Linked DNA regions of Astyanax mexicanus. The protein of the gene in region 2 purifies or fractionates together with the protein of the main gene of each other region. This does not show direct contact. Links are inferred from orthologs where the notes say so. Each region holds a gene or a part of one and is shown on either strand. Other genes may lie near its edges. The genes, in order: calcium homeostasis endoplasmic reticulum protein and rbm17.

Region 1 (16,468 bases), on a different chromosome or scaffold from region 2:
AAAAAGACAAGCAAATAAATGTTAATGCTCACTTAAGTAATCATAACATAATAATTCATAAATAAAAACTTTGATTTTAAAGCTAAAAACTACAAAAAAATCTAAACTATTAAAAGCTATGTTTAACTTAACCACAAACGTGCACAAATACACACCCACCTGTTACGTTTTTCTTGGTCTTTTCTTCTCCTTGCCCTCATCTTGGCTCTGAAGAACTCATACAGGCCATTCTGTTCCCAGCCCTCACTAAAAACACAAAGAACATTAAGAATTTAAACTGAAAGAAAACACCTGGTGATCCATTTGACAATGCTGAATATAAAATACTTTATTATAAAAATACTAGATTAAAAAACCTAAACACAAAAGACATTGGTTATGAATATTCTGTTGTACGACATACAGAGTACAGCAATATGTAAAACATTTTTGGGACTATTTATTTATTCATTCCTGATCAACAAAAGAAATCCACGGCGTAAAATGGTGTTTTTGAGTGAAGATTACCTGTTTCTTGGTCTGTCGTGTGAAGGAGGACTGTAGAAAGCCTCCACAGCAGCCAGTAACCGTTCACTTGGTGGCATGGGTGGGGGGAGACGGATGTCTTTGGGGTCCAGAGGTTTGTAGTCATGATCTTCCAGCTAGATGAAAAGCAAAGAGCAAGACAAGTTAAAAGCTATAGAAAAAAAAACACAGAAAAATTATCTGCATCCAAAGTCTGACCGACTGGAAGAAAAATCCAAACTTTATACAAAATTTGCCAATTTAAAGGAACAATCAGTAATAAATGTGGGTGTGTGAAATGGCTAAAGGAGTCCTGTTTTATGTTTCACCCGCTTTTCCCCACACTCTGTAGCTGATCAGTAAATATACGTTTCAATGTCTCTACTATAATAGTGGTGGTGATAAATATGGTTAGCAACCATACTGAAGCTCAGTGATTACCTGTTCAGCAGAAAAATAGCCAGCTTGCCTGTTTCCATGGCTTCAGCGTACTATTTTCATGCTATCTATACCTGGCAACCCTGAGCATGGAACTAGGACACTCTGAGGATAAAATCTACACTGTGTCGTATAACACAGTTCAATTAAGAACATAATGCCTGAAGCTCTGCTGACAACAGCTGCCAGTGATTAAACTCACAATGTTACCTTAATATCTGATGATACATCCTGATCCTTTTATGAATTACAACAGAAAATATAATATATCATCCTTATTGGTACCTTATTGGTATTGGCTTTAATCCTCAAGTAATTTCACAGAAAGTATTGCAGAAACACTGGAAAGGGTCAGAGAGCTTACTTTCACCAGAGGTGCCATGAGACCTGCAGGCAAGTCGAAATACGGGACATTGGGGACCAGACTAGGATCGTCCTGGTTCACGTGAGCGGGAGTTTGGCGTCTCATGTGTGGGGACTGGCCGTTAAAGCCGTGGGGTGGAGGACCGAAATCAGGGTGCTGGTTACTACCCCATGGAGGATGTTCGGACATTGCTGGTGGGGGGATTCTCTGGTTCGGGTGGTGGTGGGGAGGACCCATTTCTAAAATGAGAAAATACAAACATATGTATGATAAAAAATACAAAGAAGAAAAAATGTGCCTGAATCTTAATTAATAAAATCACATCCTCACCTCCTGGAAAATCCCCCTGCGGGTAGTCGAAGCGATGTGGTGGGTACGGTGGGCGATCAAAGTGGTGTCTAGGTGGGAAGTCGTCTTGCATGAAGCGAGGCGGGAAACGATTAAAGTTGTGGGGTGGTGGTGGCTGGTTGAAGGGGGGTGGCTGTTGGTGGGGTGGGAAGGGTCCCCTGAAGTGTGGTGGGCGCTGCATGCGAAAAGGGGGCTCCCGTTGGCTCCAAGGAGGCTGGTCTTGCTGGTTGCTCCAGGGTGGTTGTTCAAACTGTCCACTCCAGGATGGAGGGGGCTCGTTCTGACCACCCCAAGGGCCGCCAGGACCGCCAGGACCTCCAGGGCCTCCGGGTCCTCCTGGACCTCCGGGTCCTCCAGGGCCCCCATCCCGAGGGCTATTCCAATTGGAATCCCTTTGCTCATTCCACATCCCCTCGTGGCTGTTCCAGGGTGGGCAAGGAGGTGGCGCTTGACTGGGGTCAAATGGTGGCTGTGAGAAATAGCAGGATGAGAAATGTCAGGATGGTGAGGTGAAACTGAAAGGACTGTTTTTTTATGAGGGGTTGGAATCACAGGTCATCTCATAATACAATATAATCATAATAAATTGCACACGATTACAATCATATAACAGTATTGGGATTCTGTGAAGCTCGATATTTTGCATGGCAATTCTCTATGATATTTCACAGTAGATGATAAAATCCTCCTAAATAATCAAATACCAAGAATTATGGATTTATTGGTGTCAGCTTCACAGAATTTGTAGATTAACTTGGGGGGAGAGTCTTAGGGCGTTTAGACTGCCTATGTTTTAATAAAAATATTAATATATGGAGCCATGTATTGATAATATATCAATACAATATATAACAATATATCACAATATCAATATTATGTCCCACCCCTAGTTTCTATGTGCGCTGCGCCGCACATTTTAGTGGTTTCTTCTTGTAACAAACCACCATCTACTTAAGATGGGCTCATTATTAGAGGATTCGGAGCCACTGATTCAGAGGCTGACACTCACTGGTTGCTGTGGGTTCCAGGATGGCATGTTGTGCTGAGGGTCAAACCAGCCAGGCTTGTCCGGGGGTGCGGATGAATTAGAGTCTGTTGGTCTCGTCGGAGCGCCATCATAGTCACCTGGTGAAGGGCCAGCCATAGGAGGCTTTACATCTGTTAATAATAAAATGAGACACAGAAGTTACAGGTTACGTTCTGGTTTTATAAGCTAAAGAGTTAACTAATTTATTTTTATTTATTTTTTAAATACATAAACTGATCAGCCATAAACCATTGAGGTATGGACTTCACAAGACCGTTTAAGGTGTCCTGTGAAATCTGTTATTGAGATATGAGCTGTTTATACTGTGGCGTGAGGAGGCGGGGGAGTTGTGGGTCTGCCCCACGCCAGAGCGCAAAGCCATGCCTGTCTCAGCTGGCCCGCATGAGGGCTGATTGAGCCGCCAGCTGGGACAGGCATATATACTCAGCCTCGGCCCTCATTTGAGAGGACTTCCACTGGGGAGCTGAGGGCTGAGGCTGCACGGACTCTAACAGAGAATTAAGTTCAATTCTACAGACTCTAGAGCCCCATTGGGCTAGTAGTATGATTTAAGTTTGTTTTTGGGTGTGGTGGAGGGCATTTCAAAGCCTAAATAAAGGAACGTTTGAGTTCATTTACTCCCCGTGTCTGTGTTACCTGTGTGCTTCCTCCTTCCGGGTCACAGTGGTCACGCCCCTAACCCCAGGGGCCTACCACAATACTTACAAAATTGTAAGCTGTGGTCTTAACGAACTCTACCAATGCAATCTCCTATGTATAACCCACCACTTTATTCACCAGGTGTTGTTGTAATAAGATAATCAGTATAATTCAACTAACCACCGATCAGTGGTTTTAATATTATGGCTGATCACTGTGTAAAATATAACAGCATCTACTCACCAGACTGAGGGGCCATTGGCGGCTGAGCCACTTTAACGTCAGCCTCTGGTGGAGCTAGCTGGCTGACGGCAGCAGCTGCAGCTGCTGCAGCGACGCTCTGCTGCTGCTTCAGGTTGGTCACAAACTCCTCGTGCTGTGTCTTCAGAGCCTGGATCTGCTGCTGGAAGGCCAGCTGCACGGGCTGCACCACTCCAGCATATTCCGTGATTAGAGACGCCTAGAGATTGCAGATTAGTTACAAATATAGAATTAGTTAATTAGGTACCATTAATACACATGGATAAAAAATATGTGATGATTCTCTGGTATTAAAAATGGATTCCAAGCTTTGTAGCTTTTGGTTACAAGTCAAGTATAAAATGACAAATAAAATGAACCCACATACATATATATATGCATAACAAAAATATTACTGCAAATAATTGCTAACATTACTGCTACATATTACTGTGTAATATGGCTAATATAAGTTTTAGTACAGTAAGTTTTGCTGATTGCAGTACCTGATACTGTCCAAGGCCTAGCGCAGGACTCTGGAGCTGCTGAATGGTGACATCATCAAAGTAACCGTTCTTTTCCCACAGCTGGAGCAACTAGAAATAGTACAAAGAGATTATGTTTAAATAACAAATATCTTGTTTTAATATCTGTTAGATGTTGTATGTTAGAAAAAGTATTTTATTTTTTATTTATTTATTTATTTTTATTTATTTTTTTTTACATTTTTTTGAGTATTATTTTAGTAAACAAAATTGATTCCGTTCTGTTAACAGTCACTGGCAGACTGATGCATATACATACAGCTAACACATTTTGCATGCCTTTAATAAACTATGTGCTTATACTTTGGGTCGCTCAACAAACATACCCGTGTGATTTTCTGCTGCTTGTCTTCCTCCACAGCCAGGAAGCTGGTGCAATAGATAGGCACCACAACCTTCTGCAGGGCGGCCAGCAGATCCCTCTGATTCTTCCTTTGGCTGTGGAACCATAACAACGCAAGTCAATACTACGATTAGAATACACTACAACAATGCCACTACATTTTTATGTCCAAGTCCTGTGGTGTACCAGTGGTGTAGGACGTCATTCATGAGATAGATGAGATGTAGGCGGAGCTCGAAATGTGCCGTTTCTGCTGTAATGCGGTTGCGCAGGTGTGAGGTCATCAGCTCGCAGTGCTGTGGGGATTTAGCGTTGTTGAACATCCAGTTCTTTCCAGCCTAAAAAAAGAGAACAGCAGCGAATCTCTCAGATTAAACGTTACGGTGCTGAAGGCAAGCAAGTCTTTCTACAGTGAGGTCTATTTGCTGCTCACCGAAATGGCATCCTTGGTGCAGGTGTCGATGATTGGCTGGAGGAGGCCGTCAAACTCAGTCATGTCCAGCTGCGTCTCCACCAGCAGTTTCTGAGTCTGCTGCTCCATGGCCAAACCAATAGCTGCAGTTACTTGCTCCTACAGATAAAGAGAAAAAGGTGGTCCAGAATGTGAACCTTCCAGACTTCTATACTTATTTGTGCAGAACTTGCTTTTTTTTTAGTCCCATTTAATTAGAGGAATGCAATGCTTAAAGAAAGATTTTTTTTTTTCTGAATACATAAATGTGACTGTAGGACTATCACAGTATAAACAGTAACAATACATGTTTTTACATACGATTTCTTATGTTTTATGGGAAGATTGTATTAAACATATACTTTTTCCTTTATGTTTTGTAAAAATTAGTGCATACTTCATCAAATCACATTACATTTGATTAGAATTAGTATAAATTGTGTTATTCCAATTCTATTAACATTATATGCAGAACATTATGACCATTTCCTTGTTTCTACAAGAAATATTATTCACTGAGCATTAGTGGCAGTTTGTTGATCTATAATCACAGACTCTAGTTTCTGTGTTTCTCTGTAAACTTTATAATTCCGCTGTTTTTAATAGTCAGGACCACCTTAGAGCAGCTATTATTTGGGGTGTGTATTATTCACAGCACTGCAGTAACACTGGCATGGTGGAGTGTTGTGCATGTTGACACAGTGGTGTTGATAGAGTTGTAAAACATTTCAGTGACACTACTGGACTAGAGTAATCCACCAACAGTGTCCTGTGGGCAGAATCCTGTGGGCAGCATCCTGTGGGCAGCATCCTGTGGGCAGCATCCTGTGGGCAGCATCCTGTGGGCAGCATCCTGTGGGCAGCATCCTGTGGGCAGCATCCTGTGAGCAGCATCCTGTGAGCAGCATCCTGTGACCGCTGATTAAGGACTAGAGAATGAAAACACAAACTGTGCAACAGAGGAGCTTCTGTCTAATAGAGTGGATGTTGAGTGTCTAAAAACTCCAGCAGCACTGCTGTCTTTGATCCATTTAATTATACTACCACCATGCCAGTGTCACTGCAGTGCTGAGAATGAATGACCCACCATTGAAGGACAGAATGAAAGGACGATAATAAAGAAGAAGAACTACAGCCTGTAATTACAGTAATTACAATAAACCCAACCTGTATGTTTGAACTGACCAATAAAACAGATAAAATGTAGGAGGAGTTACCTGTCTGAGGCTGTTCAGGTGCTGCTCCTGCTGCTGGAGGTTCCACTGGCTCTGCTGAATGAGCTCCTCCACTGAAGGTGTACTGGGGGGGATAGGTGGAGGTGGAAGCAAGGACATTGGTGGAGGAACATCTGGGACTTCTTTACCAGGTGGTTTGCAATGCACTGCAACTGAAAGCACAGTTATTCTTTAATGGTACTAACTACTAAGTTCATTAGTTTAACAAACAAACACAAAAAGATAGAATATATATTTTTTAAAAACTCGAAAAAAAACAGATACACATCATCATGAAACAACCAGAGGCAACATCCAAAATCAAAAACTAGAAAGAACAACTGTAAGGAGTAAATGACTTTGTTTAATGGGCATTCTCAAAGCAAAGCCATCCAGTTGAGATATTATTAACAGCATGCATGCAACCGTACTCACACATGCTGGTTTTGTTTGCCCTGTTTTTCAGTGTTTAATAATGCCCATGAAAAACTAGAACAAACTGTTTAAGAGGGAACTGAGCTGTGGAACGTATGAGGCTACACTGAAGTCATACAACCAAACTGAATTAAAAAAAAAAAAATTATAACACAACAAGCAAGTAACTAAGGAAAGAACAATGAGATGTTTCCATTCTGAGCCTAAACAAATCTGTCCAACATTTTATTTAGTCAGTTTTGGGTTTGTATGCTAATGAATTTACTGGGCAGGCTGTTTTTTTTTTATCATCACAAGCAACTGAAGCTCCCTTCCCACAACCTTGTACAAAACATAAGACAAAACGCCTGACAAAGCTCAATATAAAATAAAGAGAAAAAGGCATTAAGCACTGATGATGCAAAAATACTCAATGACACCAGGCAAAGTGTGAATATTATACAGTAAATATAGATTGCGTCCAATTGTCAATCTAGTAAATACCTTCCATTTTATATTCATCATCGTGAGTGGTTGGATCTATGAGGAAAAAAGGATGACTTAGATACAAAACAAAGCATATTTGCACATTCCTGCACATTGGGGGGAAAACTTGACTGGATAAATCTATATGAATTTTACATTTCTTTAAGCATTTAATTCTGAAGCTACATCATTAAATGCTAGGTTAGTAAGCAAACAAGTTCAGTTCAGTTTCTAATACACACACTAATTTAACAACCCTTTATGGCCCTGGAGGGCCAGTTTCCTGCACAGTTTATAACCAATTTAACTAATCAGTTCATTGCCAAGTCAATCAGCAAACTGTGCAAAACTCTGCCCCCCAGTTCCCCAAAGCTGCACTAGCAGTTAGAACTGTTTCAGTGTACATACGCTGCTGTTGCTCAATTGCAAGCTTGTACTTGTAGTATCCAAAGTAATCTCCTCCGAAGAGAAAGGAGAATTTCGGATTGTCCTTCTGCTTCTCCATGGTCATCTTTTCAAACTCAGGCCCATTGCGGGCCACAAACTGCGCCAGCTTGTCAATGACATTGCGAAGCTCTTGATCTGGAACAACAAAAACAAAACACCACAAAAAAATGTTGACAGAAATCACATTATATATGTGAATTATTACCATGATCACTGAATGTTTACTGAGTCAAAATGTACATGCTAAGAAAGCTTCCTTTTACTTTTGGATAGACTTAATTCTTGTCTAGGAAACAAGCACTTATTGTTCAGCATCACCGTGAGTAGTAACAAATCTGTTACATGTACTTAGGGCTGAACAATATGTCCAAAACTAATATCAAAATATTTTTCTTAATTTCAGTTGATATGAATAGTATAGCATCCGCTTGTGGTGACTGTAATCATGTACTGATGCTGCTGGGTGATATGGTTATGTATGTATATAGAAGAAGAATATGTATCAGGATACAGTAAAATATCAACATACAATACGGGCAATTTTATTAATTAGAATTTTTAAATGGTTTAAATGTTAGACTTTTACTTCTACTCAAGTATATTCATGACAAGGGTGATTTTTTTATTAATTTATGTTATGTTGGCAGCATTATGAGTAATGTTAAACATTTATTTTAGACAAACATTGCACAATAAGAAAGACTGGCAAATGTCTTGAAGAGATATACTTGCCAGATTTATGTTTAACAGATGTACGTTTGAATTTACTCAAGTACATTCACACTTAAGGTATTTAGCTATTTACTTCTACTGAATTTGTTTTGGGAAGGTACTTGTATTACCTGTCATTATTATGTTAACAAATAAACTATACTTTTGTTTGAAAGTATGTGTTTAGACAGAAAGTCTAATTTCTGAAAACAAGTGCTATGAGTCATTAATATTAATATAGTGAAGAAAAGAGTAATAATTGTTAGCTTTCTCAGGCACTGGATACACACAGCACAACCAGCAAAGGAACAGAAGTATACGTTTACATCTGAATACATTTATTACTGATTCCAGGGTTTACTGACCAACTCTGATTCAACAGATAACCTGATAGAAATACATAATTCTTGGCTGAAAGAGAGAATACATAGCTTAAGCTGGGCTCTGTAACATTGGTTGTTTAAGTTAATCAGAAGAGCAGTGGCCATGGTGTTTCTCTCAATTAGCTAGCTTAGCTTAGCTCTATCTAATCCTGTGCACTCTCCTCAGATACGAACAGAAGCTACGACTAACTGAAAGAAGGTAAAGCACGCCGTTTTGATACACAGTTACACATGTAACCTGAAACCGCTCCATTAACGCGTTATAAACAACTGGGCTCTTCTTTAGTGAACAGTGGCTAATCGGCTAACCCGCAGCATGAGCCATTCAGAGCCTGGGCTATAGCTAACCGGGGTAGCTGTTAGCTAAGCTCAGTTGATCTACTGCTCATATCTCACCTTCTGGGGGAGTTGGGATATCCATAATGATCAAACCCAGACCTTTATCCGGTGAGTTACAGCTCAGTATGGAGATATTAAAGCTCTTTAAAGAGCTCGGCTCAGGGAAAGATAATTTTTCTGCACTGTGAAACCATCGCCAGGAGCCGAGTTGATTTCCGGCCGCGTTAGACTGAATTTCAAAATACATGCCCGACTTAATTGGGATATTTTAAAAGTTACATTATGTTCAGTGAAAATATACTGTATACATTAACCCTGGGGAGTGAGAATGAAGAAATATGGATTTTGTTAAATATAAAAACAGAGGAATAGGAGTACAAAATTATATTTATTGATTGAATTGATTGTAGAGATTTAATAAGCTGTTCTCTTGATTTATCAGTCTTCTTTATAATTTATGTATATAGCCAGTTCACTCAAATTAGCTTACTACAGTGTCCACTCTCAAATGTGTAACATCCTTGTAAAAATGTAAAAATAAATATATATATATATATATATATATATATATATATATAAAAATATATATAAGCAATTTTGGGAAATATCACTGAGCATAATTTACAGATTATTATTATTATTTTGCTTTACATATAATATTTATAAAATAACATTATTTTAATTATGAGTGTATATTTAATCTTAATTTAAGACAGACTCTGTATGAAACCCCCTGATCGAGCTGACTGTAATGAGCCTTTAAGTTGAAGAGGAAACCGCGCTGATCTCCGGCTCTTCCGCTCACGCCAGTTGGTGGCGACTTGCTCCATTATTTTTCAAAGAGCAAAAACAAAGAGAACCGGGAGGATTAGACTCGAGTTCAGCGGAGTTCAGAAGTGACCGGTTTCAGCAGATTTTACCGCGATGGCAGAAACATATTTCCACGTTCAGCTCACCGCTATTCTGGACATGCTGCTTAAAACAGCGGCGGTGGATATCTGCGCTCTGGCTGACAGCGTCTTCTCATCTCTACAGAGGGAAATAGAGAGATGCACGTCTGAAAACGACGAGCTGAGGCGGCAGCTCCAGAGTTTTCTATCAGAACCGAACATTTCAGAACCGATAGAAGCGGCTCCGCTAAAAACTAGAGAGAAAAACTGTAGAACGGAAGAGGATGTGGCTGGAAAATCACACGGTCAGTGCTGCAGGACTGAAATCAGCCTCTGTTCTTCTCTTACTTTTCTCTGCTGCAGCTTAATTAGGAATACAATGTGTTTCAGTGTATATATAGTGATTTATCGGTATTTCACATCGTTTCCAAATGTATATATGTAGAAATATAATTTTAAAAAGACAAACCATTCCCCCTAAAACAAAATAATCCCCCTAATGTATTAAATGAATCTTTTTCCTTGATTTAAAAATCTGTGCCCTCTATTCAGTGTAATTGTTAATTGTTTCCTCTGTTAAGTGTAACCCTCTATAGCAGGACTGTTTATGAAGAAGTAACCGTTTCACTTCTATTTTGAGGAGCTTGTCCTTGTTGATAGATCAGTACAAAAATGTGCAAAGAATGATCTAACATAATAATTTAGATCGTTGTCTTGAGGCATCAAATGGGAAAAATATATTTAATATGTACATAAAAACAAAATATGCCTTTAAACAGACAAAAATACTTGTTTTCCAGTACATGCACATTTTATTTTTTAAAGGTTGTTTTCATTTTTTAAATGTTAGGTATGTATGTATTGCAATATCAGCTATGTTTTGCACTACTGATATTTGTTTTATAAATCGTTTAAGATGTAAAGATGCGTGGCAGAGAATGGTTTATTTAGTGTTGTTTTTAAACCCCCAGCCACACCTCAAGATCCCAATATTCTGATTGCAAAAAAAACTTTTCTTATAATCTGACTTTATGCAGTTGATTATGTGCTTTTCATGTTATGACATTCATACAGAAATACATAGAGAAAAAATTTTTGATTACCCATATATTATGATACTATGATATTATGATAAATATCGTATTGCCAGTACACAGCCCTATTAGGTAATTGAGAATGCTAATTTATTCAATTGAGGGATGCCTACATCTCTAAATACATATGTATATGTAATTACATAATATGTATACTTTTGCTTCTTAGAATTGAACTTTTCAAGGGGAAAGCTCAAACGTGACTTTTTCTCTTTTCAGATTCTAAACAGAAGACAAACAATATGGAGACTAATACAGGAGCAGTCAAAAGTAGTCAGCGGGTAAGATTTTAAAGGTCTCTTTCAGTGTGTTTTAACCCTGGGCTTGTAGGCACAATACGAATCAGGTCCAAGTCAGTGGTTGGGAAACACTGGTCTATATGATGTTGTTTCAGGGCAGGTTGTGAATGATTTGTGCACTTACTGAATAATAAGGCACATGTTTTATGCAGTTTTCATTTAAGGTGTACTGACATTCAGAGTCGGTTTAGGTGTAAAGTTGTGGTTGTTTTTTGAGAAACGCCTGACTCTGATTTGTTTGCGGTGGTGGTGGTGGTAATTGGATTCAGGGGACTTCATGTGTGGAATGCAAAAATATTTATATGTAATGCTTAGTTTTGTAAAATATTGGTAAATCCTAAAGAATAAGTTTTCTTTTTTTTTTTCTTACAGTATTATGAATTCGGACTGCACAGTATATGTTTACGCATTGTGCATATGCAAAATAAACATATTGCAGGACATGCAATATCACAAAGTAAATGAAACCGTACATTTAATAACTTTCTTGTTTAAAAAGAGTACATTTATGTTTATGGTTTTATACAGTAAGCACTTGAGTAGAACAGTGACTAAATAAATATTGCATTTATTTGTTTGTTTTTGAAGCTGCAGAAGCGGAGAGCTGTATCAGCAGGAGTTAAAGTGGAGGTGACTGAGATGTATGTTACAAACCAGTGCATGCAAGATAGCATGGATGATGGTAAGGGCATTTATTAAAAAAACATGCACTAATAAGCCATAAGATTAAAAACATGAATTATCTGATAACAAAAACAACATCACCAAAACATCAGGCATCAGATTGTGGGGTGTTCCTGGTGTGCAGTTGTCAGTACCAACCAAAAAATGCTCCTAAGAAAGACCACTGGTGAACCAAAGTAGTATCAGGGTCATGAGTGTCTAAGACTCATTGATGTAACCTAGGGAGGCCCCACCTCACAGCTTTCAAGACTTAAAGGATCTGCTGCTAACGTCTTGGTGCCAGATATCACAGATCACCTTCAATGGTCTTATGGAGTCCATGTTTCTATAGGTCAGTGCTGTTAAGGTTGCACAAGTGGGACCTGCTCAACGTTAGAAGGTTGTTCTTTTGGGAATTTTTAATAGATGTATATTTGCTAGATACTATATTAATGTTTTAGAACAAATGCTGCCACTTTTGCCCTCTAGTTTGTCTGTTCATTTGAATTAAAAACCACACACTGATGTTTGAAGTTTTTGGTGTGAGGCTGTGAATTTTGGCAATAATATGTGAGTCTCACAGGCAGTGTTTGAGACTTAGAGGTATGTCCTCACAGGCTAAAGCACTGATAGTCACGTCTTGGATTAAGAACCAGCTAAGAATGTACTAGTAAACATATTCAGTATGTTTATTTCCAGTAAAGTGTTTCTTTTATTGTTCTACAGATGCAGAAATAAACGATCAACTTTCAGACCTCAGTCCTGAACTCAAGACTGAATTAAAGCACAACGCTGCATCCGGATCACATCTCAACTGGAACGACTGCAGCATTAAAGACTTTGAGGAGGAAGAAGAGGAGAATTCTTTATCTCTGGAGGGGCAGGAAGACATAGAGGACCTAAACACTCATTATGTACCATATGCCCAGTCTTCTAGAGACGAGGAAGATGAGGAAAGAGACAAAGACCAGCTGCAGCATGACCCAATGTCTTTGCCACGGACACGAGATTTACAGTGTTCCTTCATACAGATTGATGGAACTGTGACTGCTGCTGTTCCCCACAATAATGATAGGCAGGCACAATGTAAGAGTGTTTGTCCTATCTGTGGAAAAAGAGTGATGTCAGAAAAAAGACTGAGAGTTCACATTAAAACACATTCTGATCTGAGGCCCTACACATGCTTTCAGTGTGGGAAGAGTTTCACTCGAAAAGCAACCCTGAATTTCCACCAGAATATCCACAGAGGGGTGAAACCGTATGCCTGCAACTTCTGCCCAAAGTCATTTGCTGACCCAAGTGCTCTACGCAGACATAAAGCCATACACAAGGTGATGGGTTAGGACTGGAGTATTAATCACACAGTGAGAGCATGCTAACTTACATACTTGAAGCTGGTAAGGGGGACTTGGTGAGGGTAAATGAGACAAGTCCAATGTCTTCTCCAAATCAGTGCTTACTCTGTTGATTGAAAATGCTCTTATGAACTTCATCGAATGACTTCTGAGTCTACATTACAATTCCAGGTTTTTGGAATCTCAGTGTTTTCTATACAAATCTAATTCTGCTGCAGAAAGATGTGTAAATGATATGTAATATGTTTCTGGCTTGTGTATCTTGGTTGTGAAAACTGAGAATCCAAAACATTTTTGAAAGTGGTGATTAAATTTCAAGGCAAGTTAAATTTGATTCTTACTGTTCAGATTTTGCTGGTTCCCAGTATGTATTTTGGTATTTTTGGTTTATATTGTTATATAACTATTGTCACTGAATAACAGGAATTACTAATACGCTTCTTCATTTTACCATAATCTAAAACAAGCATGAACTGTTCGTTTGATGACATTTGTTGTAAAAAAAAACAAAAACGCTTTATAAATAAAATTTAAATGAATTGAATTTGTTAAACATCTGCGTGGCAGAAATGGTATTACAACTTGCCCCAAAGGGACGCTTTCCATGCTGGATATATAAAAATATCTGATTCAAGAATACTATTATCAGTAACAGGAAGATGTGATAAATCTATTTTTTATGCCAAGTAGATGCAAATGTAAGTGTGATAAAAAGTGAAATATTGAAATATATTTTATGTTTGTTGCATCTGTAATACATATTTTCCATGAACCTGCATAAAAACTTTTTTTAAAAATGAACTGTTGTGAATTTATAATACAGTGAGTTCTCTCACCATTTACTTTGGGGAGGTGGGGGGGGGGGGGGGGGCTTAGTGTGTTCTTAATGGACCCAAAAGTGGATATTCTATGGTATTAAAAACAATAGCATATCAAATCAAGAGGAATATTTTTAAATACTAATTGTACTTTTTTGTATTTGTTTGCATTTGGAAATTGATTGGAATGTCTGTACCATGTCAAAGTACCATTAAACAAAATTTGCTTAAGCATTAACTGATGGATAAACGCAGATGCTAAGATGAAAAGGGGGGGTAGTGGATCAGAGATACTTGTTTATCTGTCTGCTCCTCTAGATGGAGCTAAAACCCTGGTTTGGAAACCAGCTGTCTTCCTCAGTATGGATCAAAAAGGAGAAGAGAACACAAACAGGTTTCCCTCCTCCAGATCCTCATATTTGTGAATGATTTAGCCGGTGTAATCTTGTTATACCTGCTGGCTTGTAGTTTATAAAAGGTAAGAGTGTATTTCTATTTTTAGTGTTAGGTGGTGGTGGGAGTGTGTGGATGGTCAGTGTTGTTCCCTGCAGATTACTGTATAACTAGATTATAAACACACCTGCACTGATCAGCTGCATTCACTGACTGTACTGTATCTACAGTTTGATTCTTGTGGGATATTCTGCAGTTTCCTCTTATGTTAGCCTGCAGTTTTTGGACATTGTACTGTATGTTATATAGGTATATATACATATATTCATAAATACATTTGTGTTTTTAGTTATAGGGCCCACATCATGCTTTAAAATTTAAATTTAAAATGTAAAACTCACATGTGATACACAGTCTGTGGATCAGCACCTTCTTAAAATAATTGCTTCGTTAATTTTTGCCCAATCAGAAATAATCCTAATTCAAATGTTTTACATTTTAACAGCCAGAAACTGTAGAGCATTTCAAGATAGCTTTATGTAATAAAAATCCAGACTAAAAAACACAATAATAAGACTGAACAACTATGCAATATTTATAGCCTATAGCCTTTATTAATAAGAAGTAAACTTTATATTATAGTAAAAATCTCATCTCTAATTTTTAAACGAGCCCTGAGTTGTGAAAATTATTTTGGTGAAGTCACAATTTATTTTGATTTATTTTTTATTTAGTTAGTTATACGCATTACATACATAGGCCATTAATCCTAAAAGTGCAGAATGAAATGGTTTGATCAAGTAAGGATGTAGGTTACCACAGGTGATCAGCATCATGAGGAAATGATGTAGGAAAAAAGGCTATTATTTCTTGACTATTTTAGGAGGGTGACAATAAAATGAAAACAACTGAAAGCTTATTTACATAGATCTGCCCTTTTGGCCTACAGCCAAAGCATAATGTTATAAGGTGAGTTTTAAAGTGGTTGATTTTTAAAGAAACACAGGGCAGATTGAATTTATTAGTCTATTAGTACTTTTTTATTAGTACTTTTTTCCTGAACAAATTAGTTGCTGAATATTCAGGACATTCCTACCATTATCCAACCTATTGATAAGTGAAAAGACCAAATAATTTATACAAAATGATGACTTTTTTAATGTGATTAATCTCAACTAGCATGGAGTGAGGCACTTTTTGATTGTTCTCCTGAGTGTTAAAGGAGGTACATCTGCAAAACAAAAAATACATTTAACTATTTAATTTATCCAAGTCTGATAAATGTGGCAAAGTAATGCAAACCTGCAACCTGTGTTGGGTATTCTGCATTTGGGCAAATGTTTAATTTTGTTTGGTTTCAGCCAAACATTTTCATTAGGATCAGAATGCTAATTTTACAGTTTCTAACAATTAAATAGGCCTGTAAAACTTCATCATTAGTGCACCCTTCTGGTTAAATAATGAAATAAATTCAGGATGGTGGCCCTTTAATTTAGCTGATGCTGGATCTTGAAGATGTGGTCATTTTAATATAATCTAGGTCTGCTGTTTACAAGAGAAGGCAAAAAAAATGCGGGCACAAAAAAAAAAACTGGCGCCAGCCCACAAATCCAGCACCTCCACCACCCTCTCCTTCGCTGACCTCCACTTATGTCATGCGAAAGAGCTCTGTCCCATTGAAAAGCTCTCTTAATCAAACCCAATTAATTCCGCTCCTTTCCCTTATTATCCGCCCTGCGGAACGCATCATCCCAATCAGCCTGTTAACTCCAGCCTGGGCCCCATCGGAGGCCACAAAGAACGGAGCCAAATAATAGATTACGCAATTAATTAGTCGTTAGAGATGTAATTGTTCTTAATGAATACAAGCAGTCTGTGGGGGATTCAAGAGTGACTCATGAAGTAAACTATTACCACCACCACCCCTCCTCAATTTTCGCTCTACTAATCTCCATGATCAGACAGCAGGGATTTTTCCCAGCTACGCCACGGTAGTTTCTGTTCATCACCAGCTGTGGTGTAGAGAAGGAGAGCGTGGATCA
Region 2 (16,579 bases):
CCCATAGTGCACACAGGTCAACACATTTCTGCAGTCAATCAAGTGCTAAAAACTTCACATGGCCTTCAGATTAGTTTATGAACAGTAGAACACTGAAAACTTCATGGATTGGGTTTCCAAGGCTGTGCAGCTCCATACAGGTCATACATCTCCAAACACAATGCTGGCTGTGAATACTTTTGGCAAAATAGTGTAGTGTATTTTCCTACTCTTAAATGTAAAAATTTTAAAGTGTTGTTAATCTATTCTAATGAGGGCAGTTGTGTTGGTTTAACAGGTCTTCCTTTGTTTTGTCTGTGGATCATTATTTTGGGCTCCAGTTTTTTTCCTGTGTTCCTTCTTTTTTATCTAAGCAAAACACTACAGGAAGCCACTTCTCTTTGCCATTAAAAATATTTGTGTATGTGAGGAACCACCAGACAGTGTACCTTTTCAGTAAAAGCTGCAGGGTAGAAGCGATTCAACAGTGTTGAATTAGAATGTTGTTCCTTATACAAATATGCAGATCCCAAATTCCTGTGTGGCTTCATGGTTAATTAGTAATTGCACCACACTAAACGAAGTGTATATATGCAGTCGTGTGAAAACTCTTCATGATTCCTATTTTTTAAGTAATTCAAATATTTGTAAAAGATAATACAAGTAAACCAAAAAAATGTTGACTTTTAATTTGTTTTTTAAGTTTTTATTATTAAGGAATAAAAAAAATCCAAAACTACATGGCACTGTGTGAAAAGTGTTTGCCCCTTAAAACTAACTAAAACTAAAATTGGTTGGTCCACCCTTAGCAGCAACAACTGCATTTGCAGTAATGTGCAATGCGTCTTTTAGAGCACTGTGGAAGAATGTTGGCCCACTCATCTTTACAGAAAATAGAATTTAACCACATTGGAGGGTTTTCGAGTATGAACCGCATTTTAAGGTCATGCCACATCATCTCAATAGGATTCAGGTCAGGACTTTGATTAGGCCACTCCAAAGTATTTGCTTTGTTTTTTCTTTAGCCATCCAGAGGTGGTGTGTCCTGCTGGTGTGTTTTAGATCATTGTCCTGCTGCAGAACCCAAGCTTATTTTAGCTTGAGGTGACAAACAGAGGGACGGACATTCTGCTTCATTATTTTTTGGTAGGGGGTGGAATTTATTGTTTCATTCATCACAGCAAGTCTGCCAGGTCTTGAAGCAGCAAAGCAGCCCCAGACCATCACACTACCACCATCATGTTTTACTGTTTTGTATGATGTTCTTTTTCTAAAATGCACTAGATGTAATGCAACCTTCCAAGAAGTTCAACTTTTTTGTTTTGTCAGTCCACAGAGTATTTTCCCAATATTCTTGTGAATCATCAAGATGTTTCCTGGCACAATTAAGACAAGCCTTGATGTTTTTCGGCTAAGTTATTTTGATCTTGGCATTCTGACATGCAGGCCATTTTTGCCTAGTCTCTTTCTTATGATGGAGTCATTAATGTTGACCTTAACTGAGGCAAGTGAGGCCTGCAGTTCTGTGCATGTTGTTGGAGTTTTTTTGTGACCTCTTGGTTGCAGTGCTCTTGGGGTAACTGAAACTGCAAAAACTAGAGAAATTGCATTTTGTGTTTACTTGTTTTGTCTTTGACTAATATTTAAATTTATTTAATGATCTGAAACATTTATAAGGGGGCAAACATGCAAAAAAAAAAAAAGAAAATCATGAAGGGGCAAACACTTAAATTGTATGCAAATGATGTAAAACTATATATTTTTTCCTTGTTAAGTTAAAAGGCCCATATTATATCTCTTTTTACACAACCTAGAATAGCTCTATGGGGTCTCCATATGTTTTTTTTATATACATTTGCATATGCTTTCTTATAGTGTGCAGAATAATATCAGTTTCAGTTTCAAATAATTGAAACAGCTCACCAAAACCTCAACCTATCCTTTGTATTTGACAATATTTGATTAACTTTACAGGTCCCCACTCACCTGAATTTATTTAACTAAACTGAGTTTAGTTGATATTATTTTTAGCCTCGCGCCGAATTCAGCTCCGCGCTGCGGGAGGGAGGGAGGGAGGGTAGAGAGAGAGAAAGCGCAGCACAGCGAGGCATGGCGCATTTTGCCTGATTTCTCTTGATTAAATATCAATAAATATGTGAATTTAATACCTCTTAATACCATATATTTTACATCACTTGATAGGACCTTATTTATTAAAATGTTTTTTTTTTCTTTTATCGCAATGCCGCGCGGGCATTCCTTATGACTGACGCTAAACTGTTTGATCCAGCTGTTATATTATATTATGTTATATTAATACCATTTTAACATTTTTCGTTTCTATGTTTTGAAATTCGTTAGATTATATTTTGGTCAACATTTTGGGTTTATTTTCGTTTGTTATTTTTCTAATAATAATAGAAATTAAATAATTTATTTTATTTTGTACATTTTTTAAGGGGCGAGTAACAAAATTATGTGCATGTTTCTGAAAAAAAAAAAAAATTGGGCGTGGCCGATGATATAGTCCATCGGCACAACCCTATTGCATAGTAACAAACCTTTTCGCTTTTGGTATTATGGGATAGTGTTTGAAAAATTTTGAGTGAAAAAGAAATTGAATTCATTTTGTGTATGGGATTAGTGTGGGGTGTGTATTGTCTTTGTTTGTGTTGTCACTATTGTAAGTTGCTTTGGACAAAAGCGTATGCCAAATGTAACGTAATGTAATGTTTGCATTATTTATATGTTGTGTCATAATTTGATATTTTTATTTTAAGAAAAACATAGACGCTCTAAACTCCCTGAAACTCTTGCCCCAGTTCGACTTACTAAAGTCTCACACTCCATGCTTGTTTATTGTTTCTTCTGAAATCAAGGGTATTAAAATAGTATTTATACTGTTTTTGTAGGAGTAACAATCTCTACTGTCCAGGGTAAAAGGCTTTCTGCTAGATTTTTATTCAACGCATTGCTGTTAGGATTATATTGCAATTTCTGACAAGAGCAAAAATGAGTGAGCTCAGGATGTTAAAGGATCACCACCCCACCTACATTCCCAAGTCCTCTTAAAAGCATTGGAAGAAGCCCCATCATTCCACAGAACAGTTCCACTGCTCCACAGCTTCAATATCTTAAATAGCTTCATCTACCAAGCCATATATAGGAATAAACAGAGATTAAATATTACCAGAATAGCCAAAGGACGTTGAATCAGTGCAGTAAAACAGCGCAGATCTCCGACGTCAGAGTAGATTTATTTGTGCACATTGATTTTACTGTTATTCAACACTGATTCAAATGTCATGGTTTTATATGTATGGTTTGTATTAAACTTTACTTACATGAAATACATACATGTTGTTTTTCCATCATCAACATTAAAAGATGTAATGCATCCAACAAATAACATTTAATATTCTCTGCTATCAGGGGAATGTAGGAGAGCCAAAACCACTCAAACCATTTAAATAAACGTTGATTCAATGTCAGATTGCAAAACTAACCAGTGAATATTAGGCCATGTTAAATAAAGTTGTTTTCCCCTCATCAACACTAGAAGATACAATAACTCAATGCAACTTAAAATGATGTTTAAATCAATGTTCTTTGCTACCACAAGAGTGTAGAAGAGCCTCACTAAAATCCCTAAAAACCTTTTAATAAAAGTTTATTCAATGGCATAATTTGAACACTAACTGGAGCCTATTAGGAAATGCTAATAAATGTGCTTTTTTCCCCCCCCATCACCATCAAGAAAATATGTAATACATCTAAATAATAAAGTTTATTTATGTTCTTTGCTATCATCAGAGTGTAGAAGAGCTCAGCCCAACCACTTAAAACCTTTAAATGAACGTTGATTCAATGTCAGACTTGCAAAACTAACCAGTGAATATTAGGCCATGTTAAATAAAGTTGTTTTCCCCTCATCAACACTAGGAGATACATGAACTCAATGCAACTTAAAATGATGTTTAATCAATGTTCTTTGCTACAACAAGAGTGTAGAAGAGCCCCACTAAAATCCCTAAAAACCTTTTAATAAAAGTTTATTCAATGGCATAATCTAAACACTAACTGGTGCCTATTAGGAAATGCTAAATGTGCCCCACCATCAATACAAGGTGTAATACATCCAAATAATAAAGGTTATTTATGTTCTTTGCTATCACCAGAGTGTAGAAGAGCTCAGCCCAACCACTTTAAACCTTTAAATGAACGTTGATTCAATGTCATATTCGCAACACAAACTAATGAATATATTAGGTAATGTTAAACAAAGGTTGGATAAGAGTTGTTTTTCAATCAACAACATTCAAAGTTGTAATGCAAAAAAAAACGTTTATTTAATGTTCTTGGCTATCAGGGTACTCACCGTTTACCCCGAAGATGTGGAGGGGGTACTCAGCCGCGGTGAAGATGAAGGTGAGGAGGAGGAGAGATGATGCCCGCATGTCCAGAAATACCAACACTGGGTCTGCCTGCCGGTGATTTACACATATTTTAGGAAATACACAGACTCCAGTCATCTGAAGCACGGCCTGTGACTACGACAGCTTCCTTTCCGTTCAGCAAAATAACATAAGTAGCCCGGTTTCACTTTCACTTAAACACACACACACACACACACACACACACACACACACACACACACACACTGCGCACACAAACACTGAGCACACACCGCAGAGCGTCCCAACACTTCGCGTGGGCTGGGGGTATAAATAACGCCGTGGGTCACAGTGGATCAGGGTAGCATATGGCGGTGCTGTACCGAGCTGTGTTCCTCAGGCAAAATTATATTTTCCACAGAGCTCCTTCAGTCCAGACCGGAGACGTCCCAGTCACTGATCCACCAACATCAGCGGGAAAGAGTAAAGTACACTATACACTGTACTTGTAACTTGTAACACTGTACTTGTACACTAACCTGCTGCTGGAGGTTACTTCACCATATGACTTCTCCACTGAACTAAGCTCCGCCCACTGGGGCTTCAACCCAATAACCAACCAACGCCACGCTAGTTTATATATATATATATATATATATATATATATATATATATATATATATATATATATATATATATATATATATATATTTAAATATCCTTACATGTTCAGAAAGTGCGGTTTGTGCATGTAGCAAATATACTGAATTTATACATAAACCTTGTGTAACAATATGTTAAAAATAAAATTGCTTTTAACAAAAACTTATAAACTTGTAAACTTTGATCTCATTTACCAATATATTTGAGATTTTTTGTGTTAGCATGACTCCCTTTCAATTATGGCTACTACCATTAGCATTACTACCACAGTGTTAGCATTACTACCACGCTTTTATCATCGCTAGCATCACTACCACAATGGGCACTATTTGCTGCGTAAAAAAAAAAAAATAATAATAATAATAATATACGTATATATATATATATATATATATATATATATATATATATATATATATATATATATATATATATATATATTATTTTTTTTTTATTTTTTTATTATTATATATATATTATATATATATATATATATATATATATATATATATGTATATATATATTCGTATATATACATTACATTTAATGTTATTTTAATTTTCTTCCCCGGATGCAAAATTATAAAAATTGAGAATAAAGTAAAGGTTGTCTTTTTTCGTTTTCCAAAAAAAAAAAAAAAGATTATTATTATTATTATTATTATTATTATTATTATTATAAATAATATTTGTCGTAAAAAGCACTGTTCGAAATCATCCAAAGGTCCAGGACACTTGTTGACATGCTTATCTCTGTTAATAGGTAAAAGGTTTCAGGCACTCTGCCTGAATTGTTTCACTTTTATTTTCATTATACTACTTGTTTATTTTTTAAACCCTGCCTGGCGGCTCTGTTCTTCTCGGTAATAGAGTGATTTACTGTATATCAGATGGGAGGGTGAGCTAGGCGTGACAGACCTTTATTGTTTCGGTTTGAGCCTCTACCACAGACATTCCCTGCTATCAATAAAGAAAAGGTTTTAAAAAATGTTATTGACATTGCTAATATTGTAAAGATTTGATTTATTATATTGTTATTTTCTGAATTTATATGGACAAACGTGTATGTCATCTAAACTAATCATTACAATTTATACTGTGTTTTTGAAAATCATTCGAGCATTGCCAAATAAACTATTGTAATACTTTATTATATAAGTATTTCCTTACACCCCTATTTGGTAGCCAAAATATTTCAATACACTAACAAAAAAGATCAAATCAAGTATGCGTATTCATGATATGCATCTATTTATGTTATGTATTAACATAGTCTAAGTTTAAATTTTACAAAAAAAAAGACATTTTGCCATTTCAAAAGGGGGCGTTTCTGTAGAACGACCCTTTTACATTGACTTTTATTTAAAGTTAGAAAGATTTCTCTACAGCTATATGACCCCATATTACCCGGATTGTTTAGGACAGGGCTATTAGAGGGATTTGGTAGCAATGGCTCCACCTTGTGATCGTCTTTAAAACACAAGCTCTGCTTAATTCTGCTTAAATCTACTTAAAATGACAGTACTTTTGGACTATTTAGCATATGTTATAAGACTTCAGACTACACAGAAATTATTATTGTCCTGCTTGATCACTTAATATTTTCATTTTTTGTCCTTTTATGGATGTGTCCATCTTGTTATGGCAAGCTGTACTATAGAGTGGACAATTACAGGGTGGAACATTTTAATGATTTTTTGACATTGTGTTTATGGGCTTATTATGGAGTAACATCTGGCTGTTATATTGCGTTCTTTAGAAACACAAGCCTCATATTAATAAACTACACAGAGATATATAGTAAATTCACAGCATCCAGCAGACTGTGCGGTTTAATGCCAATTTGGTCTGACTGACTAAAATTGACTGAAGGAAAGGCTGTTTTCTTACAGGTGGACAAAACCTGTGCTAAGACTTTTCTGCCCAGAGTTGTTGGGAAATCTGACTTATTATGGTTCCATCACCTGGCACAGACAGATAATAAGTCATTATTCTGACATAAGTCGTTATTTTGAGATAATAATTATTTTGACATTCTAAGGGGTTATTTAAAGATTATTTTTGCTGACTTAATATCTCAAAACAATGATTTAGCATTTTAAAATAATGACTTAGTTTCTTAAAATAATGGCTTAGTATTTTAGTTTTTTGCACAGTTAAAATAAATTTAAAAATCTGGATTTCACCTGGCAGTGTCTATACAGTATCCTTGTGGCAAACCTTCACTCCATAACTGTTCAAGTCTACACTACCACACCACACATAGTATCTTAATGACTTAGTATCTCAAAATAATGACTTTGTATCTTAAAATAATGGCACAGCATCGCAAAATAATGACATAGTGTCTCAAAATAATGATGTAGTTTCTTAAAATAATGACATTATCCCAAAATAATGACTAAGTATCTCAAAATAATGACTTAGTATCTTAGAACAATGACTTAGTATCTCAAATTAATGACTTATTATATCAAAATAATGTCTTAGTATCTCAGAGTAATGAGATAATATCTCAGAATAATGAGATATCAGTTTATAGTAGTAATGCTAGGTGCTGGGTTTGTGGTTGTGATAGGTGGGAGTGTGGACTGTGTTGTTGGATGATGCTGAGCTTCTGTGATTCTCACACTAGAGGGCAGCACTTCGTTTGGCCACTTTTGATGACGTCATTAGAAGCGACGAGGAGACGGCGCGTTAGCATGCTGTGCTAAATGTGGTGGAATATTGAGGTTTCTCGCTCCCGTTTGGAATTTAATCACAGGTATTTACTAAAAGATGGTCTAAAGTGCTTTTTAAACCATCAATACTATCAGTGCGTGGTAGGGTATTTTAGCTGTGGTCACAGTTAGCGCTGGGGCTGGCGTGGGAAATGGTAGCTAGCCAACCTGGCTAATGAAGCTTAGCCTGTGTTTTGTGTGTGCTTTTTGTGTTTAGAGACATTTCAGGCACATTTTATTTTTTGTTACATAGCATATGATCAGTTGAGATCATTTTAAGCTGTATAACACCTCAAACCTCTGCTAAAACCAGCCTGAATGTGTTTAGAAGACAAATAGCCAAACTGCATCGTTTTGTTGGGTCTATTCTGTGCACCAGTACTGTGGTTTTACAGTGGAGTTGGTGCACAAACTGATAACTGCATCGAATTCTATTTTCTGGATGCCTAAACTATGTGAATGTGCTTTAGAATTAACTTTGGTCTAATTTTAAGAGAGTAAAAAAATAACAAAATCGTCCAACCAAAATAAACCATTAACAACACACTGTTGTACAGTAGAGTAGCATACAATCAACTGTATCAGTGCCAAACTAATACCATTACATATATGGAATATTTCTGTCTGTCTGTCTCACTCTCTTCAAGTCTCTCTCTCTCTCTCTCTCTCTCTCTGTTTGTCTGTGTCTGTCTCTCTTTCTCTCTCCCTTTCTGTCTCTGTCTCTCCTTCTGCTTCTTTGTGTTTTTGCTCTCTCTCTCTCTCTCTCTCTCTCTCTCTCTCTCTCTCTCTCTCTCTCTCAGTCTCTCTTTGTCTCTCTGTGTGTCTCTCTATCTCTCTGTCTCGTTATTTCTCTGTCTGTTTCTTTCTCTGTCTGTCTCTGTGTCTCTTTCTATCTCTCTCTGTCTCTCTGTGTGCCTGTCTCTGTGTCTCTTTCTCTGTCTTTCTGTCTGTGTGTCTCTCTCTCTTTCTTTCTCTTTCTCTGATATTACAGCACTGATTAATTAGTATATACCGGTATACCTTCATCCACCTCAAAGCTTATCAGTTTCCTTAAAAATAGATTTCTGCTGGGATTTTCTTGTCAGCAGGACAAGAAGAGAAGTGTGTGCAAATTTAATAAGCACCAGAACAGGCTTTTTGTTACACACAGCTTCAGCATAAACTACAAGTACTCAGACATTAACTTTTATTTAAAAAATATGAACCTTTTAACAACTGTAGTGATCATTAACCAGTTTTGGTAATAACCAATTTTCCAAATCACTATTGGCAAAGCAGACAAGAACCAGTGCTTCCCTAATAAAAAAACAAGTTAATGAGTTCTTGTTCTTGTTTCATGAGTTATATCTGCAGGTAATGAAAGTAATGCAAACTGTTGATGTGTGGAAAATAAAATGAAACAAGTGTAACATTCTCTACATTCATTGTGTTGTGTGATCAGGTGAACCAATGTCTCTTTACGATGATTTGGGGGTCGCTACCAGTGACGCCAAGACTGAAGGATGGTCGAAGAACTTCAAACTGCTTCAGTCGCAGCTGAAAGTGAAAAAAGCTGCTCTGACACAAGCAAAGGTTTGCATTCTGTTTTTATAACATTAAACTGCAGATGTTCTGTGTTGTCTGTATTATGTAGTACCATTATATCTTTACTTAAACCTGAAATTGGCCTGGAAATAGATCTTTGTTTTCCCCCTTCGCAGACGCAGAGGATGAGACAATCCACTGTTTTGGCTCCAGTTGTTGATCTCAAGAGAGGAAGTGACGAGCGGCAGATTCCAGACACACCCCCACATGTAGCAGCAGGGCTGAAGGTGAGTGAAGAAAGCTGGAACAGTGTTCTCTGTATTGATGGAGGTCTGTCCAATACTTTTAGATGAGATAAGTTAGGGATTAAAATAATAATAATAATAATAATAAGAAGAAAATTATTGTAGAAATAATGTAGAATTTTTTTTCAAGATACTGAAGTAAATGCTATTTAGTATATGCATAAATATTGCAAAAATACAGAATATACTCTTAATGTTTCCCAAAAAATAATTATAGTATTTACATGATATAGAATTTAAAATCACAATGTTACTGCCACAATATATTGGGCATGGTATGGTATGGCTCACCACTATTATACAGTATGATACATTCTTTTGCAAATCTTAAGGCATTATAAGAACTGTTTAGTTGGGTAGCTTCTTTATAGCAGCTATTTTAAGTTTATATTTTTGTGTGTGACAGGACGTACCAGGTGGCTTTTCTGCAGGTGATGTCCTAATCCCGCTCCCGGATGAGTATGATCCCATGTTCCCAAATGACTATGAGAAAGTGGTGAAAAGACACAGGGAGGAACGTCAGAGGCAGAGGGAACAGGAGCGGCAGAAGGAGATCGAAGAGAGAGAGAAGTATGCACATTCCACACGTACCCTGTCTGTACACCAATGCCCTGCTGGTCCTGTTCACCTGGGTTTAGTTTTTTTTTTTTTTATGCTTTTTCAATAGACAGTGTGATTTGGTGTATTTATGATATGTTTGAGAAATTTATGAGTATTTTACCTCTTCAGTAACGCAGATGCCGTGAGGTGTTCAAGAGAATTGTCTTGTGATATATCAGATATCACGGAACCACAGTATTGGGATATCATTGTTATTGTGGTAATTGTAATTGTTTCGTGTGATGGCCTGAAATTCCTACTCCTATTACTATATTAGCCACTCTTTAAAGCCTCTTTAAAGAAATATTGTGCTGGTCATTTCGTACTGCCTGGTTTGAGTTTCAGTTGCCTCTCTTGTTTGTCGAAATAGGAAGCGAAAGGAGCGTCATGAAGGATCGGCCCCCAGTGGTTTCTCACGTTTCCCCACAGAGGCAGATTCAGATGAGGATGAGGAGTATGAGAAAGAGAAGAGGAAGAGGAGTGGGTGTCTTCTCAAACTATAACAAATTTTTTTTTTTCCTGTTCCTTTTATTTTCCCCCTGTTTTTAACATATTTTACATTGAAGTGCCACATATCATGGGACCAGAACTAGTATTGTGTTCTACCATTCACAAGTTTGGACACACCTTTTCATGGAGTTTCTGGAGGTGCTGAACAATAGCTGCTGCTTTTCGTTCCAGCTCATCCCAAATCACCATCTCAGTTAATCGGGTTTAGATCAGCGGATTGTGGAGGACGAACACTTTTTTTTTTTTACTGTTTATTACATAATGTATAATGTGTTCTTTTATTGTTTTCATGCCTTTAATGTTATTCCACAATGTAGAAAATATTTAAATAAGGAAGTAAAAAAAACAATAATGAGAAGGTGTGTCCAAACTATTGATTGATTCTGTATATAAGTGCTGAAATGATAACTTGATGCAAAATGATCTGTACATCTTTCTGACTCTTTTTGTTTGACACATAGGTATGGGTGGTGCTGCTATTGCCCCTCCAACGTCTTTAGTGGAAAGGGACAGTAAGTACATATTTTTATTCATGTATGTTTTTTCTTTTAATTTTGCCATACTGATTTGTTTTTGTCTATTAAAATTCAAAATTACATTCTAGCGCCGTCTAACTGGGTGTACACTGTATCTAACATCACCTACTCTTTCCAGTTCAGTCGCCATACATTTACATTTACAGTTGTGGCGCTAATCAAATGAATAGGGTAAACCTGCAGTGAGGAAAAGTAGTTTCTGTGAAACTGACACCAATAAATCCATGATTCCTGGTATTTGCTTATTTACGAGTATTTTATCTTCTTCAGTAACACAAGTGCCATAAAATATTGTAGAGATTCTTTGCATAATTGTGTTTTTTTCACATTCTTACAGTTTAATTGTATAATACTTTTGTGAAACAAACTACTGTACAACTTTTGAAGTGCTGTTAACAGTTTAACAATTATTTTATTTGAATTTCCCATTACCTCTGTAGTTTCCTGTAGACCACGTAGTTCAGGCTTGTCTCCACTATGCTGTGCTGATGTATCATTTGAATTTAACTGCATTTGAATGATGGTTTGGATAGTTTGGTCATGTTTGGTGTTTCCTGTGTTTTAACTCCAGCATCCTACTCATATGATGAGGAGGGTCGTCAGAGATCTAAAGCAGCAATCCCGCCCCCTGTTTATGACGACTCAGAGAGACCCCGCTCTCCGCCAGGACCCACCAGCTCCTTCCTGGCTAACATGGGGTGAGTGTGAATACAGAACACTGTTAATTCAGCTTATTTATTGTAGTATTTTTTTTATTTTATACATCACAAGCAGTTTTAGAGGTACATGTAAGGAATTGATGACCAAAAGAATCATTTAAAAACTAATTGCAGTGTTATTTCCATTTTAAAGTGATACAAATGGGATGAAGAATAAGTGATGGGATTATTTTATGTACCAAAACCCACCATAATTCATTTTGTACGACGACAGATTATTATGTCCATCTCAGGATGCAACAAATTAAAAGTTTTGGATAAAAGATTTGGCTGAATTGCAAATATGTTTCTTGCTGATTTAAATTTTTTAGGTTGCCATGTTTTCAGCATTACATTACATTAATTTAACATATTTTTTGTCCTGATTTAAACCACAATTTAAAAATATTTATTTAATACCTAACCTTTTTAACTTCATCAAATGTTCTTAAGTTTTTTTTTTTTTTAATTAAAAAAAATTCTGGTCACTGAATATTCTGTGCATATCTATATTAATCAGACTTTATTTTATAGAAATTATAAAATGATGCAGTTAAATAAGCTTTGCTGTCATTAAGGCTACAGCTAATGACTGTTTTAGTAGTCGACTAATCTGATAAATAATTTTTTATGGAGGCTTCCATCCAATGCATGATTTACTGAATCTTAACAGCTTAACCTTTTAGGGCCCTAGATAGATTATGCAGCACATTGGAATAGTTGACATAGCAATATAAAATTACAAAGCGTATTATAGGAGACACTCCCACATGCAGAAGGTTATTTTCAGAAAATTCTACTTTAAAGTATTTAATTGAGAAGGCACTATATGTGGGATTTAACTCTGAGAATATGATTCAATGTACAATGAGCTGATATACAGTGAGTATAGGTGTTGTCTTATCTGGTGTCTTTAGACATTTTTAGAGACCTGGAGTAGGAGACACATGTTTGAGCCCATTAACCTTCCCACGAGGTGTAGTCCACACCATCACGCATTAATGATGTGTCGACAACGAAATTCTGTGCCATCAAATTTTTAAAGTCAATGTTCTCAGTTATGTCGAGTACTCGTTGCAGCCCTACTGTCATTGGTTGCACTGTATTGTGCCCGATTTAAAACATGGTTTGAGTTAAAATTGTTTTTTATAACTTCAAATGAATGGACGTTGTGCTAAGCTACTGTATGCACATAGTCAGATATATGTACTTTTGTTTGCTTTTATAATTGTGTGTTTGTGTGTGTGTGCTTCTCTTAAAAGTCCACTGGAAAATCTTAAGGTTTTGCAAACTTCAAATCAGACTTTAACTTGTATGACATGTTAGAATATTTTCCAAGGTGAAAATTCACTCAGGTATAATATAACCTGAAATTATTTTTACGGGTTGTTTTTTATAGAACTCTGAGGTACCCCTCCTTGCCATCCCGTGTAAAATAAATCTTGTCTGAGTGGTACCCTCTTCTCTATATTTGAATTAAGTGTGCGGACTAGGGGTTTCATATTGTATAGTATGCAACAATATTGCATAGTAAATGTGCGATTAAAAACACTTATAATACATTGCTTTTACTTTTTTTGTTACACTTTTGTTACTCTATTGTTATTTTAGACAAAATCAGAATCTTGTTTAGGTTTTTTTTGTCTACCAACGCATTTTCTATTGTATTGCAGTAGAATATTCCTGAAAAAAAAATCACCTTATCATACCACCATATTGTTATCGCACAAATACCCTGAAATATAGTGATATGGGCCATATCACCCTCATCTAGTACTGAAGAATATTTGTTTTGCCCTTTAAAATGTGAGAAAATAAGCATGCCTGCTTGATGGTATCCATAACAATGTTTTTTTTATTATTACTAAATTATTATTATTATTATTGTTATTATTATAATTTCCGTTGTTGTTGTTGTCAAGCCACATCACATTTACTCACATCAGTGCTTCCTTGTTACATATTACAGACTGCGCTTTTTATACGTGATGCAGATGGATTCTGAGATGATTCTTTAGTCAGTGAGGGTCAGGGCAACATCTTATGCTTGACCTTTTTGGTGTAACTGTGGGTATTTTCCAACAAGGAACATTGATATGATTGTTAATGGGCACATTGTATGATGTCATGTCAGGTAAAAACCAGTGGTAATCATCTGTGTGTAATCATTTGTGTGTGTGTATGTGTGTTTTAGGGGGACGGTGGCTCATAAGATCATGCAGAAGTATGGGTTCCGTGAGGGTCAGGGTCTGGGAAAGCATGAGCAGGGTTTGAGCACGGCTCTGTCGGTGGAGAAGACCAGCAAACGTGGCGGGAAAATCATCATCGGAGACTCAACGGAAAAGAGTGAGCTCACACACACACACTCACCACATTAAACAACACATACACACTCATACTTCCCAAGGCACGTTTTTCACGTACGGGAAAATCCCTGTAAAGTTGAGGTAAAGTCACTAATCAGTACAGTTTTTAAGAAGTCTTACAAAATACACATTAGATAATTTTAATGATTAATATGCATTTTTATTTTACTGTTATTATTCTGATCCAATATCAGTATAATGACAAAATTTATTTGATGTGCACAATTCTGCTGTTCCACAGCTCAGTCCTATAATAGTTTATTATAATTTTAAGATATCCTTTTTTTTTTTTGCAGATTTGTTTTAACATTAAATTTGCTGCAGACAATGAGTTGCTGCTGTGCTGCTGTATGTGTGTTTGTGTCTGTGTATATTGATGTGTTCCTTATGTGTCTGTTTCTCAGATTCAGGATCCAGTCAGAGTGCGGCTGACACACCTGGGTCTAATTCGGGAGCATCAGGTATGATCTTACACCTGTTAATCTGTCGTCACTGTATTTTGCTTATTGTTTTCTTTTTTTTTTTTTTAATAATACTCATTTGCTGTACATCTACACAATCCTAGCTCATACAAGTTTACTTGCAGAACAGTCAGAAATTATTCTAACAATGCTTATTAATATGCTTTTAATATAATATATTAATATAAGTGCTTTTCGCATTTTACTAATTGTGATTATTTTAACAATTAGTTGTTTCTGACCTTGTAATCATAGAATTGCTCCAATAAGTTTGCACAGTACTCCCTGTACTTTCTGAATGATACACATTTATATTAAATGTCTTGATTTGCTTTAATAGCTAAACAATGAAAAAAGGCTTTATGAAAATGAATAATAACAGCTTACACAGTCTTTCAGGTATTCTACAATACTTTAATGAGAGAAAGTAAAATGCATAGTTGTTAGAAAATGCATTAAACATTCTAAAATATCATTGCTAAAGGTTTATTTAGGTGTGACCCCCAGACAACATTAAGAGAATTTAAAATATGCATTAGAATGTTATGCAAACTGTATAGTTAGGCCCACATGGCTCTCCATGCCGTCACACTTGATTTGAAATGAAACAACTGAGATGCAGTTAAAGTGTAGACTTTCAGGTTTAATAGAATGGGTTAGAAAATATAACGATTTTGTTACAAAGCGTTCTAATTTAGGGGCTCAAAAGTATTAGGAATAGCTCAAAAGCTATTCCATAGGTTCCATAGGCTATTCTCTCCCTAGTCCATCATTGGTTAAGCATACAAAAGGTCTGGAGTAGATTCCAGGTGTAGCATCTGCATTTTGGAAGCAGCTGCTGTGAACCCACAACATGTGGTTAAAGGAACAAAGTATTAAAAATGAACATTTTATTTATGGTTGAGTTCATTTGTCCAGTTTCTTTTGAGCACCTGAAATGAGAGTGCCTTGGTGATAAATGGTTGAATTTCCTAAACACTTCATAGCATATTTTTGTTCAACTCCTTGAATTAAACTTCTACAGTGCAGTTTCATTTTGCTTCATTTGAAAGACAGTTTTGTGGCATGCAGAGTAGGGGTGGGCGATATGGCCCTAAAATAATATCACGATATTTCATGGTATTTTCACGATAACGATACTCTTGGTGACAAAACACGTTTTAAAAAATGATTAAAAAAATTACACTATACACTGCAAGAAAAAAAATGTATTATAACATGCAATATAATATTGCACACGCCTAACTGAAATATTAAATAATACAATAATTTTATCAGATTTGTAATAGAAGTTAAGGATCCAGGATGTCATGATACTAATAAGAATGCACTGCAAATATCTCCATATATCCAGGATTAAAGTAAAATCAATGATACTGGACAGATATAATCTGTCTCTAGTAGAAATATAACGGGAAATGGGATGGGTGATGTGGCACGATATTTTAAGGTATAATATCGTTCACGATATTTAAACATTTTGACGATATTATCGTGTACGATACGATATGGCACACCCCTAATGCAGAGCACAAATCATAAAGATTGTGTCACTGTCCAAATATTCATGGGCCTAAATGTATGTACTGCATATACTGTATTTACTTACATGTACTGTATTTTCTATTTGAGTGACTGTAAAGTGTAATTGGTTGTGTCCCTCTTTTACTTTTGTACTTTTTTGGTATTTGGGAGTAAATGAAGCACTAATGTATACAATAACAATGGCAGAATTCCATCTGTACAGTTAGAAAGTTCAAAGGGCGATAGTGATATCACTTTTACAAATACTGATAAGTCACTTCCTGTGCAGCCAGACATGAT

The links.
Region 1: the proteins of rbm17 (region 2) and calcium homeostasis endoplasmic reticulum protein purify together in Homo sapiens (co-immunoprecipitation; 4 studies listed by BioGRID and IntAct, counting the BioPlex papers as one, with this or other methods). This does not show direct contact. The link is inferred for Astyanax mexicanus from reciprocal best matches to the Homo sapiens genes RBM17 and CHERP.

The regions. Positions count from the first base shown.
Region 1 is NC_064423.1:27,377,490-27,393,957, reverse strand, and holds the start of calcium homeostasis endoplasmic reticulum protein, read right to left. Parts: upstream 9,135-16,468; 5' UTR 8,997-9,134; coding exon 8,972-8,996; intron 7,617-8,971; coding exon 7,443-7,616; intron 7,089-7,442; coding exon 7,053-7,088; intron 6,308-7,052; coding exon 6,138-6,307; intron 5,041-6,137; coding exon 4,903-5,040; intron 4,808-4,902; coding exon 4,656-4,807; intron 4,565-4,655; coding exon 4,453-4,564; intron 4,178-4,452; coding exon 4,088-4,177; intron 3,802-4,087; coding exon 3,585-3,801; intron 2,813-3,584; coding exon 2,664-2,812; intron 2,124-2,663; coding exon 1,637-2,123; intron 1,546-1,636; coding exon 1,307-1,545; intron 642-1,306; coding exon 508-641; intron 247-507; coding exon 160-246; intron 1-159. Other genes in the region: zinc finger protein 615, read left to right, coding at 9,839-10,109, 11,118-11,179, 11,786-11,879, 12,587-13,203. UniProt on the Homo sapiens protein: Involved in calcium homeostasis, growth and proliferation.
Region 2 is NC_064409.1:20,774,274-20,790,852, forward strand, and holds the start of rbm17 (splicing factor 45), read left to right. Parts: upstream 1-7,673; 5' UTR 7,674-7,799; intron 7,800-9,196; 5' UTR 9,197-9,204; coding exon 9,205-9,327; intron 9,328-9,455; coding exon 9,456-9,566; intron 9,567-9,990; coding exon 9,991-10,154; intron 10,155-10,554; coding exon 10,555-10,664; intron 10,665-11,155; coding exon 11,156-11,206; intron 11,207-11,801; coding exon 11,802-11,928; intron 11,929-14,122; coding exon 14,123-14,274; intron 14,275-14,698; coding exon 14,699-14,755; intron 14,756-16,579. Other genes in the region: il15ra (interleukin-15 receptor subunit alpha), read right to left, coding at 4,358-4,511. UniProt on the Homo sapiens protein: Splice factor that binds to the single-stranded 3'AG at the exon/intron border and promotes its utilization in the second catalytic step. Involved in the regulation of alternative splicing and the utilization of cryptic splice sites.